3 linked regions of the Ovis aries genome follow. The protein of the gene in region 1 purifies or fractionates together with the protein of each later gene. This does not show direct contact. Links are inferred from orthologs where the notes say so. Each region holds a gene or a part of one and is shown on either strand. Other genes may lie near its edges.

Region 1 (4,203 bases):
GCCTCCAATCCCTCCCAGCATCAGGGTCTTTTCCAATGAGTCAACTCTTTGCATGAGGTGGCCAAAGTACTGGAGTTTCAGTTTTAGCATCATTCCTTCCAAAGAACACCCAGGGCTGATCTCGTTTAGAATGGTCTGGTTGGATCTTCTTGCAGTCCAAGGAACTCTCAAGAGTCTTCTCCAACACCACACTTCAAAAGCATCAATCCTTTGGCCCTCAGCTTTCTTCACAGTCCAACTCTCACATCCATACATGACCACTGGAAAAACCATAGCCTAGACTAGATGGACCTTTGTTGGCAAAGTAATGTCTCTGCTTTTGAATATGCTATCTAGGTTGGTCATAACTTTTCTTCCAAGGAGTAAGCGTCTTTTAATTTCATGGCGGCAATCACCATCTGCAGTGATTTTGGAGTCCCCCCAAAACAAAGTCTGACTCTGTTTCCACTGTTTCCCCATCTATTTGCCATGAAGTGATGGGACCAGATGCCATGATCTTCGTTTTCTGAATGTTGAGCTTTAAGCCATTTTTTTCACTCTCCTCTCTCACTTTCAAGAGGCTTTTTAGTTCCTCTTCACTTTCTCCCCTAAAGGGGGGTGTCATCTGCATATCTGAGGTTATTGATATTTCACCCAGCAATCTTGATTCCAGCTTGTGCTTCTTCCAGCCCAGCGTTTCTCATGATGTCCTCTGCATATATATTAAATAATGAGTTTAAAAACTTGTTTCCAGTTGTGTAGGAGTTAGGAGATACTGTGCGCTAGACTCTGGAGCGACGAAGGCGTGGTATTATCGCAGTTCCTATCAAAATACCTTGTTCTTGGTCATATGTCAGTGGCAGTCACCAGACTCAACGTCAGAAACTACACGAAGGCGAAAAGTCTCTGTGTGTGCGCCTCGGATAGAGGGCTGGATTCCGTTAACTTCACTACAGCCCTATTTCAATTTTACAATGAGACTTTGAGGCTGAAGGTGGAAGTGACTTGCCTATGGCCACAAAGCCATAGGTTTGTTGGCTCCCACTATGGTGTACTTTCCGTCATACGAAGCTGAAGAGGCCTGCGAACAGCTCACAACCTCGCTCCCAGACAAACTCCAAAATATGACGACTTCAACTTCTATACTCGCCAAGGAAAATTAAACCGGTACTTGAACCAGAGACTCCACCCAAGTAGCCGCCGAGCCTCCTACTCAGCGCGCATGCGTCAGGCTGCTCCTCCCGCCCCCGCGCTTCACTCCTCCGCCTTCCCGCCTCTCCCCGCCCCTTTCCCGCCCGGATGTCAGTCTAGCTTTGCCGGATGTTGTTGTGAGTCCGGGAGACACGTGAGGCACTGCTACGTCATCACAGGCACGCGCAGGAAACATGGCGGCGGCGGGTGCTGTGAGCGGGAAGGTAGGTAACGGCCCTGGAGGGACACTGCAGTTTTTCTCCGGGTAGGGCTGCTTTTGCTGCTAGGAGGCCGGCTGGGGAGGGATGCGAGGGCCTTTCTGTATCGGGAACAGCGTGTAGAGGGTGTAGGAGAAGATGCCTAGTTGTCAGCTGTTTTCTTGAGAATGCCGGTTCAGCCCGGGAATTAAGAGACCCGGCTCCTACTCCAAGACTAGCTAGGCCGTGGCGCTGTTTGGTCCGCTCTGCCCCAGGGCGATAGGCTTTTACCTGTCTTGCCTTTTCTAAGAGACAGGTTGTTGCCCTATTGCGTTCTTTTTCTGGCTCGATTTTCTCTGAGTGTCGTTCTTTCTGTCACTTTTCGGACTCTAGGGATTTTTCTGTCTTCCTTTGAGGCGTCAGCCTGACTCGCCTCCGCTTTCCTCTGCTTCACTCTGGTAAGGCATCTTTGTCCTCTTCGGGAGGAACTGAAAACAGGTGCTTTGCAGCTGTGCACTTAGAAGAGCGCATTGGATCCATTTTACCAGATTTCGAGTTGATTGGTGATGGTGAGCAGTAGGGATGTTTCCTCTCAGGGAGCTGGAGACTTACAGCATCCCACGCTTGTCTAGGAAGGCGTTAGTTATGGTATTTATTTCGGAAGCAAAGCTGTGATGTTCCCGTGGGAGACTCTGTGGTGCTGTTTTACGGAGTTGGTCATCGACCGCCTCGTTTTTCGTTAGGAGTTAGGATTAAGTGCGGAGGATATTTCATTGCATTCTGCCTATTCGTGTTCCAAGGCAACGTCATAATGCCTGTTAGTACTACCGTGGCATACTATGGCAACATTTCCAGTTGCGGGCGTATTTCGTAAACAGTTGGGTGGGGTAATGACTCATCTCATACCAAGGCCTATTTACTTTCCGCGGAGAGCTTCGTCTGTTCCTTGATGTCACTCATTTTCTTTACGCTGCCTTCTGCATACCATTTTGAATTGCGTGACAGCGTTTGTGTTTTAGTGTATGAACTACTAGCCAGAATAACACGCTACTTTTACCCTGAATTGTGACCTTGCGAAATTGAGCGAGCATGACTTCTTTGTCCTTCAAGGTCTTTATCTCCAGAGCGGATGTGGTGCTAGTCATTATTTTTTGCATTGGAGTTAGGATTATATGAAATGATATAAGCATTAAGAAAGTACGTCCTTCTGCATACTGAATATTTTAAATGATGGGTAGGTCATCGTTTTCGAGTTTTCTCGGTCTTTGGTTGTCTTGTCTATTTCTGTCTTTAGGATGGGTGCTGATTTTCTCTTTGACTCATTACATACAGTAAGATTTTCTATCTGGACTGATCCAATCTAGGACTTTCCAAGAAGGGATCCTTTTTATTTGAACTACACTTCGCTCTTTCAGGTGTGGGTTGATTTTGATAGAACCTTTGCGATGATGAAGCGGAGTTGTGAAATAGGACTTTTTTCACCCTTTCCTTCCAGGCACTCACTACATTTCATAATTTGCGTCTTTTACTTAACGCTACTTTATCACCGCATTTATTCTCACACGTTGCAAACTTAAACCCATTCTCATCACTGAACCTAAATTTTTTTTTTTCATGCCAAAGGCTGCCCATCTTTCAAATAATTCTGTTGTAACCAGTGAAACCTGCTTATTCCTCCCTCTTCAAGTTCAGATCCAGTTAATGGCGTCATCATTTACTTGGTTGCATGTAAAACAAACTTGGAGATGTCCATTTCTGTAACAGCATTTAATCAGTAAGATGGTAGGACTAATCAGATCCTACCAGTTTCACCTTAAAGAGGTTTCTTAAATTTGCTGCACCCTCTTCATTCAGACATTTAGCCTTGAGTTCTCTGCAGGGTTTTTTTTTCTTTTCTACAGTCTCTTTGCCCAAAGTCTCCTCTCTACACAAGCACTAGAGTTATTTTCTAGTGCCCGAGGCTGATTGTCTCTTGTTTTTAAAAAAAAAAAAAAAACAAAAGTCTTCATTATGTTATTGTCACCATTAAAATAATACTCAAGGCTGGTTAACATGGCATTAAAAATCTGTGTTGACTTTCTGGCTTTATCTTATACTTTTCTACTTCTCAGTCTTGTTTCTTTGGGAAAAGGGGGATAGGAAAGAAAACACACATATATTTGTGAAAGAGTGTGTATATGTGTGTCTCTGTATTGATTTATTCCCCACCCCCACCCCAAAGGTTCAGCTAAGACCTGTCTAATTAGAAACCTAGGGCAGTGAATGTTAACCAAGACTTTTAGGAATCACGTGTGGTACTTTTAAAACTATGGATGCTGGGTCGGTCACAGCCCAATTCTATTCATTAGAACCTTGTGGTGTTTAGATCTAGGATGTAGAGTAACTTTCCTACTGAGTCTACTTGCTTGAAAGTTTGATTCTAGGAAGTCACATGGTGAGGAAGTTAATCTCTGTCATATGGAGAAGCAGTGTAAGATAACAGCTAAGAGCATGGACTCTGGAGAGCCAAGCCAGTTTCAAAAACTAACTTCACACTTACTAGTGATGTCAGTCAAATTACTTAATGTCTCTTTGTTTCAGTTTCCTTATCTGTAATATAGGGAGGATAATAGTGTGTACTTCATGGGATTTTTAGGATAGATAAGGAAATGTATTAGAACAAAGCCTGGCATGTGGTGTTTAGATCCTGTGTAGGTGTTACTCATCATCTTGATTTCCCTGCAAGTCAGTGGTTAACTATGGTAGAATTTTGAAGGTTTAGAATATGGTTTTTGGTATGAGTGTGAAATTCATTTTTGAATTTCAGTTCAGTCGCTCAGTTGTGTCCGACTCTGTG
Region 2 (3,649 bases), on another chromosome or scaffold:
TGGTCGAGCTCTGTCAGTGACTGTGGTCGAGGACATCCCTGCACTTTTGACTGTCCCTACAATCTGAGACGTGGACACTCAGATCGAGTTGTGGCCTCTCCTTGGGACCAGCTAGGCTCTGAGTCATCTCAGCCCGCATTCTGAGCAGCCTGATGGCCCTGGCAAGCCTCAGGATGGGGTCTCACAGGGGCCAGTCCTAATTTACAGGCACCAAAGAGCTCCTCTCACTTCAAATAAAGGACCCCAATCTTCTCCAGAAAGATGAGCAGTCTGGTTAAAAAAAATTTTTTTTTTTTTTGCTGGTAAAGAATAGCACAGCCTAGAACAAAGTTTTATTTAGGTTAACTCTTAAAAAACAAAACAAAACAAAACACCAAAAAGCAAAACACATTAAAAACTTTATTGTTAAGTACCACGCATGTCTAAATTTGCATCAGTTTGAAACACTTCTGCTGGCTTTGCAGAACACAATAGTTGCAAGTTTCTTTAAATCTTTAACAGTCGCCTGCTTTAGGTCTTTCCAGGCTCGTCTGTTCTGGCCTCCCCCTCCTACCCGTGGTGGGGTCCGTCTACTCTGCCCCACGCTGACATCGGGTCACCCCTGGGCCAGTGGGAATCTGCTTCTAGAGGGGTTGGCCCTGCAGCTAGGGCGGCCTGTACTCCTCGAGGAAGCCCTCTCTTCTTGTTATTTTCTCTTTGTCCCATTTTTACTCCCAGCCCAAGTGGCTAACTGGGGATATTCTAAGCAAAATTCACCCCAGTGAAGTTTCATGGAGTATTCCAGAACTGCAAGCTGGTATCTGATAATTCTTTTTTTTTTTTTAATGGAAGTGGGGAGTAGCTGGGACAAATCCCCTGGACTGGAGCTGGGTAGAACAGGTGGAGGTGGGTTTAAGTTTCCTCTCCCTCCCTTGTCGGCGGGCCTGGCCATCTCTGCAGCTATGAACTGCTGGCTCTGGGGGAATGAAGACCCTGAACAGCACTGGAGTTTGAAAGCAAATTTGACTGGGGCAGGGGTCGGGGTGGGGGGCAATGAAAAAACGTCCATAAATAAAATCTGACAAGTGCTGTCTGAATAACAGCCCCCTTTCTGGCACAAATGATCTGATATCATGTAGAAAGATACGTTACGGTAGAAAGAATATTAAAGCAGCTGTAATTTCCCATCTGTAGCGCTATTCCCCTGCTTCCTGAAATCTGCAATTTGAGTGCATTTTAAACACGTCAGGAATAAGTGATGATTCTCCAGAGCAAGGGAAATACTCCATAAAAAAATAAAGATAGAAAAGGCATGCTATTTTAATGGCAAACTTACTTTGGATACTTAATGGTAACTGATCTTGGAATTAAGGGAGGGAGTGGCAGGGACCCCCTGTGCCCAGGAGGACAGTGGGGACTTGGTGCCAGCCAGCGTGCCATCTTGGGCTGCGCCCGCCGAGGCCAGCAGCCTGCCAGTCCCTGTGTTGTCGGCCGGGACCCTCAGTGTTGCAGCAGGAAGTGGGTGGCCACGTTAAGGTCGTTATTGGAAGCTCTCAGGGCTTCCAACGCGTCGCCCCTGGAAAACCCCATCTCCATGAGCCGGGCAACCTGAAAACAGAAACAAAACCGGAAGCCTGATGAGGAGGCTGACCGCACTGCCACCAATCCCCCAGCCCCATGATGTTCCTCGAGCGACTTTTAATGTTCCTCGTGAGCTTTTCAGGTTAAAGAGAAAATAAACCACCCTTTCATTTAGTGCGAAAGCTGATGTTTATGAAACGACAACGGACCCGTTTTCAGGTGCTCACTATATTCGGTCCACAGAAGTGCATTTTCTCACTTAATCCTCACTTTCAGAACAAGAAAGGGGGCTCCTGAGGGTCAGTGACCTGCCAGGACGAGCAGAGAATGGCTGCGCTGTGGGCCCCAGGCCTGGGGTGGGGGTGGAGGGGGCAGGTCGTACCAGCAGCCCCACGCACAGGCCTTCAGGGTCAATCGGATTCCTGAAGAATAACACCCCAGCCGCATTTCCCCGGGCAGGTGAACAGCTGCTTAACTGGGGATTTATTCCTGATGCTGGTGGACTCTGACGGTACACACGCCTCGGAGCTCCCGGCGTGGCTCAGGCAGAGCATGGCCTTGGGGTGCCCACCCCACAGCCTCTCCCAGCAGGTGCGGCGCCCCCGGAGTCCCCACCGGCAGAAGGGATGAAGTCCAGGCACAACCTCGCGGGGGAGGCAGCTAGAGCCACGGCGGAAATCCTGAAGCTGTGAATGCAGAGGCTTCCTGTACTTTTACATACAGGCGGTCTCCAAGGCTGAAACGGCAGGGTTATTGGTTTATTCCTTGTGACCTGTTTTCCTACTTGAAAATGTATTACAGAAACATTTAGGACCCTGGACTAGCTGCAGGAGTCTTTTCTTTAACTTATTTGGAAATAAACTACATTTGCAATAACATATATTGAAAAGTGATACTCTTCCAAATGTTAAGATTTTCAACAAGGTGTAAGTTGACGAGGGCCTGGGGACTTAGTCACCACTTCTAACCTCCTTTCCACAGAACGCGATGCCCGGGGGGCACACAAGGGTCAGAGCCCTGCCGCCCCTCCTTCCCCTGCGGAGGAAGGTGTGGGCGGGGCGAGTGGGGAGGGCGGGGCGAGTGGGGAGGGCGGGGCGCAGCCGAGTGGGCCAGAACCATTCAGATCCCAGGTCCCTGGGCCCTAAAGGAACCTTTTGTTGCTGTTCAGTCACTAAGTTGTGACCCCAGGGGCTGCATGCAGCACATCGGGTTCCTCTGTCCTCCACTCTCTCCTACTAGAGTTTGCTCAAACTCATGTCCATCGAGTCAGTGATGCCTCCAACCATCTCATCCTCTGCCACCCCCTTCTTTAGCCTTCAATTTTTCCCGGCATTAGGGTCTTTTCCAATGAAGTCAGCTCTTCACATCAGGTGGCCAAAGTATTGGAGCTTCAGCATCAATCCTTCCAATGAATATTCAGGGTTGATTTCCTTTAGGATTGTCTGGTTGGATCTCCTTGCTGTCCAAGGGACTCTCAAAAGTCTTCTCCAGCACCATAATTCAAAAGCATCAATTCTTCAACACTCAGCATTCTTGATGGCCCAACTCTCACATCCGAACATGACTACTGGAAAAACCATAGTTTTGACTAGGTGGACCTTTGTCGGCAAAGTGATGTCTCTGCTTTTTAATACACTGTCTAGGTTTATCATAGCTTTCCTTCCAAGGAGCAAGCATCTCTCATGGCTGCAGTCACTGTCAACAGTGATTTTGGACCCAAGAAAAGAAAATGTCACTGCTTCCACTTTTTCCCCTTCTATTTGCCATGAAGTGATGGGGCTGGCTACCATGTTTTTGAATGCTGTTTTAAGCCAGCTTTCTCACTTTCCTCTTTCACCCTCATCAAGAGGCTTGGGAAGAGGTTAACCCAGCTGGGAGGAAACAAGGCACACTTTTCAGAAGCTGGGGCTCTGGCCAGTGTTTTTCAAACTGAGGCTGGGACCCCTCATCAGTGGGTTAAGACCAAGATTAAAAAAGAAGCACATGGTGAAGGGCTTCCCTCCAAGGAACCTCATTCTGGTTCCCCACCCTCCACACACGCCCCCGAAGGGTCGACCTTGGGGAGGAGCCCAGTGGCCCATTTCCAGTT
Region 3 (3,649 bases), on another chromosome or scaffold:
TCTCTTTATTGGTGCCTTCTAAGGGGCTGGAAAACCACCATCCACTTTGGTTGCTTTCATGATTTATCCACATTTCCCTATTTCTGTTAATCTATTAAAACACCAGATGTACAAAGCATTTTCTCTCACTAAAACACTGTACAACAATTTCACCTTCAAGGGATGCTTTTTATTTTTTAATACCATAGATTCCATATTTTATAACATTTTATCTAACAAATATTCATTGCATTTATTAAATAAATCATTTCTTTTTGTTTGGTATCAAAAACATATGTGATGGTCAATTAGAATTTACCATCAGCATGAGATAATCTATGCTATTAACACATAACAAAGAATCTTACAAATGTAATAAGTCCATGTAGCTCTCTAGATCTTTTTCAAATGTTAGAAACAGTTTAAAGACCCAGTTCCCACCCTCAAGCTCCATGAAGGGACCAGGAAACCTCAGACTGAGAAGCAATACATTGGAAATTACTTTTAGGGAATACACAGCTTAGCAGCTTTACCTAAGACTCGATAGAAATACACTTATTTCAACCTTAACCAGCTCCAAATTGGTCTTCTTAAGGATTAAAGATTTGAAAGAAAAGAAGGAATAATAAACCTGGACATCACTCCAGAGTGAATGGTTGCTAACTCATTCCCTAAAAGGGGCACTGAGGACAATGATATATTCATGTTAATAACGTTAGCCATTCAACTAAGCTCCAGTACTTTAGCCACCTGATGTAAAGAGCCGATTCATTGGAAAAGACCCTGATACTGGGAAAGACTGAAGGGAAAAGGAGCAGGGGGCAGCAGAAGAAAAGATGGTTGGAAGGCATCACTGACTCAATGAACATGAGTTTGAGCAAACTCTGGGAGATAGTGGCGGACAGAGGAACCTGGCATGCTGTAGTCCATGGGGTCAGAAAGAGTTAGACACAACTGAGCAACTCAACAACAAAATATATGACTTCTTGTATCTTAGCTGCCCAAAGGAATGTCTCCGTTAGTAAATATTGCATTTTTTGTTTCTACATAATTAAATTACTTCCTTAAAAAGAACTATTTACTAAATGTACTATCATTTCCCTTCCTAGATTCCTTGTAAGTTTGGCTCAGAATGCTAGTATTTAACAAGAAAAGTGATTCTTAATGAAGCTGAAGTGATTCTTAATGAAGACACCATCTGGATTCCCTCAATATACCACTTCACGCAGATACAGCTCAGTGAACAGGTATTAAGTAATGAACCTCCTTCTTCGTGGGCTGCTCAGTGGGTGGTAAAACTTTGGTTACAGTCTTAGGCAAGTTCCGTCTCTTTGCTGCTTCTCTGTTTGATGTTTCAAAAGACGTCTGACTCTCACTATCAAGCTCCAAATCTTCATCACCCTGTTCAAAAGCAAACTCAATTCAGAAGTGAAGTCACTACCAACAGCAGTTGTATTTTATGTTGCCATCTTTCACATTAACTTTCTTACCAACCCTTGATGGTTTCATGGCAGATTTACCATTATGAAATGGATACAAACATTCTGCTTCATTGTCAGAATCTTGTTTACCCCTACTGGATCATCTTCTTTATGAGATGATGAGAGGTACAGTGTAAATAGAAAGCAAAAAAAAAGTCTTTGGGACAGAAAGCATCTTACACAAAAAAATCTGCAGCCAGTTCCTCTAAAAATGAATTTCTTTATGAATATCCTTTTTTCGCTGAAAGAAAACTTAACATTGTAAACTTCCATTTGCAAATGACAAAATTCATACTCAATGCCAAAGGAAGAGAGTCAAAGGTCAATTTGGCTTCAAAAAACAGAGCTAAACAGAATGAATATAATGTGAGCTTATAATACCCAAGAGATTTGGATGCCCTCATATAAAAGATGTGATTTAGTCAACAGTTTTCTCAGACTGTCTTAAGTTAGAACTTTTCAAGGATCTAAGTTATATGCTCTTTAGGCACCAAAAACCACTTAAACATTTGACATAAAAATATGATCAATAAAAACTATATATATATATAACTGATATATAAGCATTCTTAATAAAGACTCCTAAAAATACACTGGAATAATAATTTGAAATTTTTAAAAAAATTAGTATATGTTAAAGGGAACATAAACAATAGCAGGATTAAAAAAATATGAAATGAGAATATTTTCTAACCCCAAGTTTATGACCATTGCTTAACTTCCAGGTTTCACCCGTCATCTGATAAAAGCGTTCTTCCAGCTTTTTCAACTTCATTTCCTGGCTAGGTTTTAGAACATTCTCTATGTATCTGCTGACCTGTTAAAAAAAAAAAAAATCAGGTGACTATACATTAACACCCCTAAGATTTTATTTACATTGTCTATAAAGTTGTAAATAAGAACCAGGTAAGAAGTGGTGTTTTAACACTGATTCAGTTTTGCCAAAAAACCTACATCCTCCACTGTTGCACTACTCTCTAAAAATTTGCATTTGTACACAATGCAAAGAAAAACAAATTTTCTATCCTTCTGCTTGTATGGCAGTCTGCTGATACATCCTTTAATGGGTTTTCAGTGCAACAAAAACTTACTAGGGTTGGAGATATAAGTATGCCCAAGTGCTACCTGATATTTCAAGATCATGAAAATAACTGTTAGATGATCATCCATGGTAAATGCAACTTCTAATTAGCAAAACCAATCTTGGATAGGATGAAGCAAAAGCAGTGCTCAGAGGTAAAGTTATGGCTATAAATATCTAATTAAAAAAGAAGAAAAGATATCAAATCATTAACTTTACATCTTAAAAATCTTGAAAAAGGACAAGTTAAACACAAAGCTGGCACATGAAAGCAAATAATAAAGAAGACATAAAAACAGGGAATAGAATAGAAAAACAACAGAACCAATGAAACCAAAAAGTGGTTCTTTGAAAAAAAATTAACAAACCTTTAACTTGACTAAGAACAAGAGATGACTACCAAAATCAGAAATAAATGTAGAGAAACTGAGACCCTCAGAAATTGCTGGTGGACATACAAAACGGTGTGGAAAATAGTTTGGCAGTTCCTCAAGAAGTTAATATATAGAATTACCATATGACCCAGCAATTCCATTTCTATGTATATACACCCAAAGAATCGAAAATAAGTTCTCAAATATTTGCACACAAATATTCACAGCAGCACTATCCACAATAGCCCAAAGGTGGGGACAACCTAACTGTCCATCAGTGAACAGAAAAACAAATTTTGATCCATCCATACAGTGGAATATGACTCAGTCCTAGAAGGAATGAAGTGCTGATTTATGCTATATGGATGAACCCTGCAAAACATTAGGCATGGGAAAGAAGTCAGACACAAAAGGTCACATGTTACATGATTTCACTTGTATGAAACATTCAGACAGATCCATACAAACAGAAAGCAGATTGTTGGTTGCCAGAGGATGGAAGGAGTGAGGAATGGGGAAATAACTGTTTAATGGGTTTGGGGTTTTCTTCTGGGATGACGAAAATGTTTTGGAACTAGACAGAGGTAGTGGTTGTACAACATTGTGAATATTCTAAATGCCACTGAATTACGGGCTTCCCTTGGTAGCTCAGCTGATAAAGAATCCACCTGCAATGCGGGAGACCTGGATTTGATCCCTGGGTTGGAAAGATCCCCTGAAGAAGGGAACAGATA

Evidence for each region.
Region 2: the proteins of TBC1D15 (region 1) and UBAC2 purify together in Homo sapiens (affinity purification with mass spectrometry; 3 studies listed by BioGRID and IntAct, counting the BioPlex papers as one, with this or other methods). This does not show direct contact. The link is inferred for Ovis aries from reciprocal best matches to the Homo sapiens genes TBC1D15 and UBAC2.
Region 3: the proteins of TBC1D15 (region 1) and UBXN8 purify together in Homo sapiens (affinity purification with mass spectrometry; 3 studies listed by BioGRID and IntAct, counting the BioPlex papers as one, with this or other methods). This does not show direct contact. The link is inferred for Ovis aries from reciprocal best matches to the Homo sapiens genes TBC1D15 and UBXN8.

Annotation. Positions count from the first base shown.
Region 1 is NC_056056.1:107,916,143-107,920,345, forward strand, and holds the start of TBC1D15 (TBC1 domain family member 15), read left to right. Parts: upstream 1-1,331; 5' UTR 1,332-1,364; coding exon 1,365-1,394; intron 1,395-4,203. UniProt on the Homo sapiens protein: Acts as a GTPase activating protein for RAB7A. Does not act on RAB4, RAB5 or RAB6.
Region 2 is NC_056063.1:75,587,717-75,591,365, reverse strand, and holds the end of UBAC2 (ubiquitin-associated domain-containing protein 2), read right to left. Parts: intron 1,588-3,649; coding exon 1,480-1,587; 3' UTR 381-1,479; downstream 1-380. UniProt on the Homo sapiens protein: Restricts trafficking of FAF2 from the endoplasmic reticulum to lipid droplets.
Region 3 is NC_056079.1:26,015,809-26,019,457, reverse strand, and holds part of UBXN8 (UBX domain-containing protein 8), read right to left. Parts: intron 2,278-3,649; coding exon 2,155-2,277; intron 1,381-2,154; coding exon 1,243-1,380; intron 1-1,242. UniProt on the Homo sapiens protein: Involved in endoplasmic reticulum-associated degradation (ERAD) for misfolded lumenal proteins, possibly by tethering VCP to the endoplasmic reticulum membrane. May play a role in reproduction.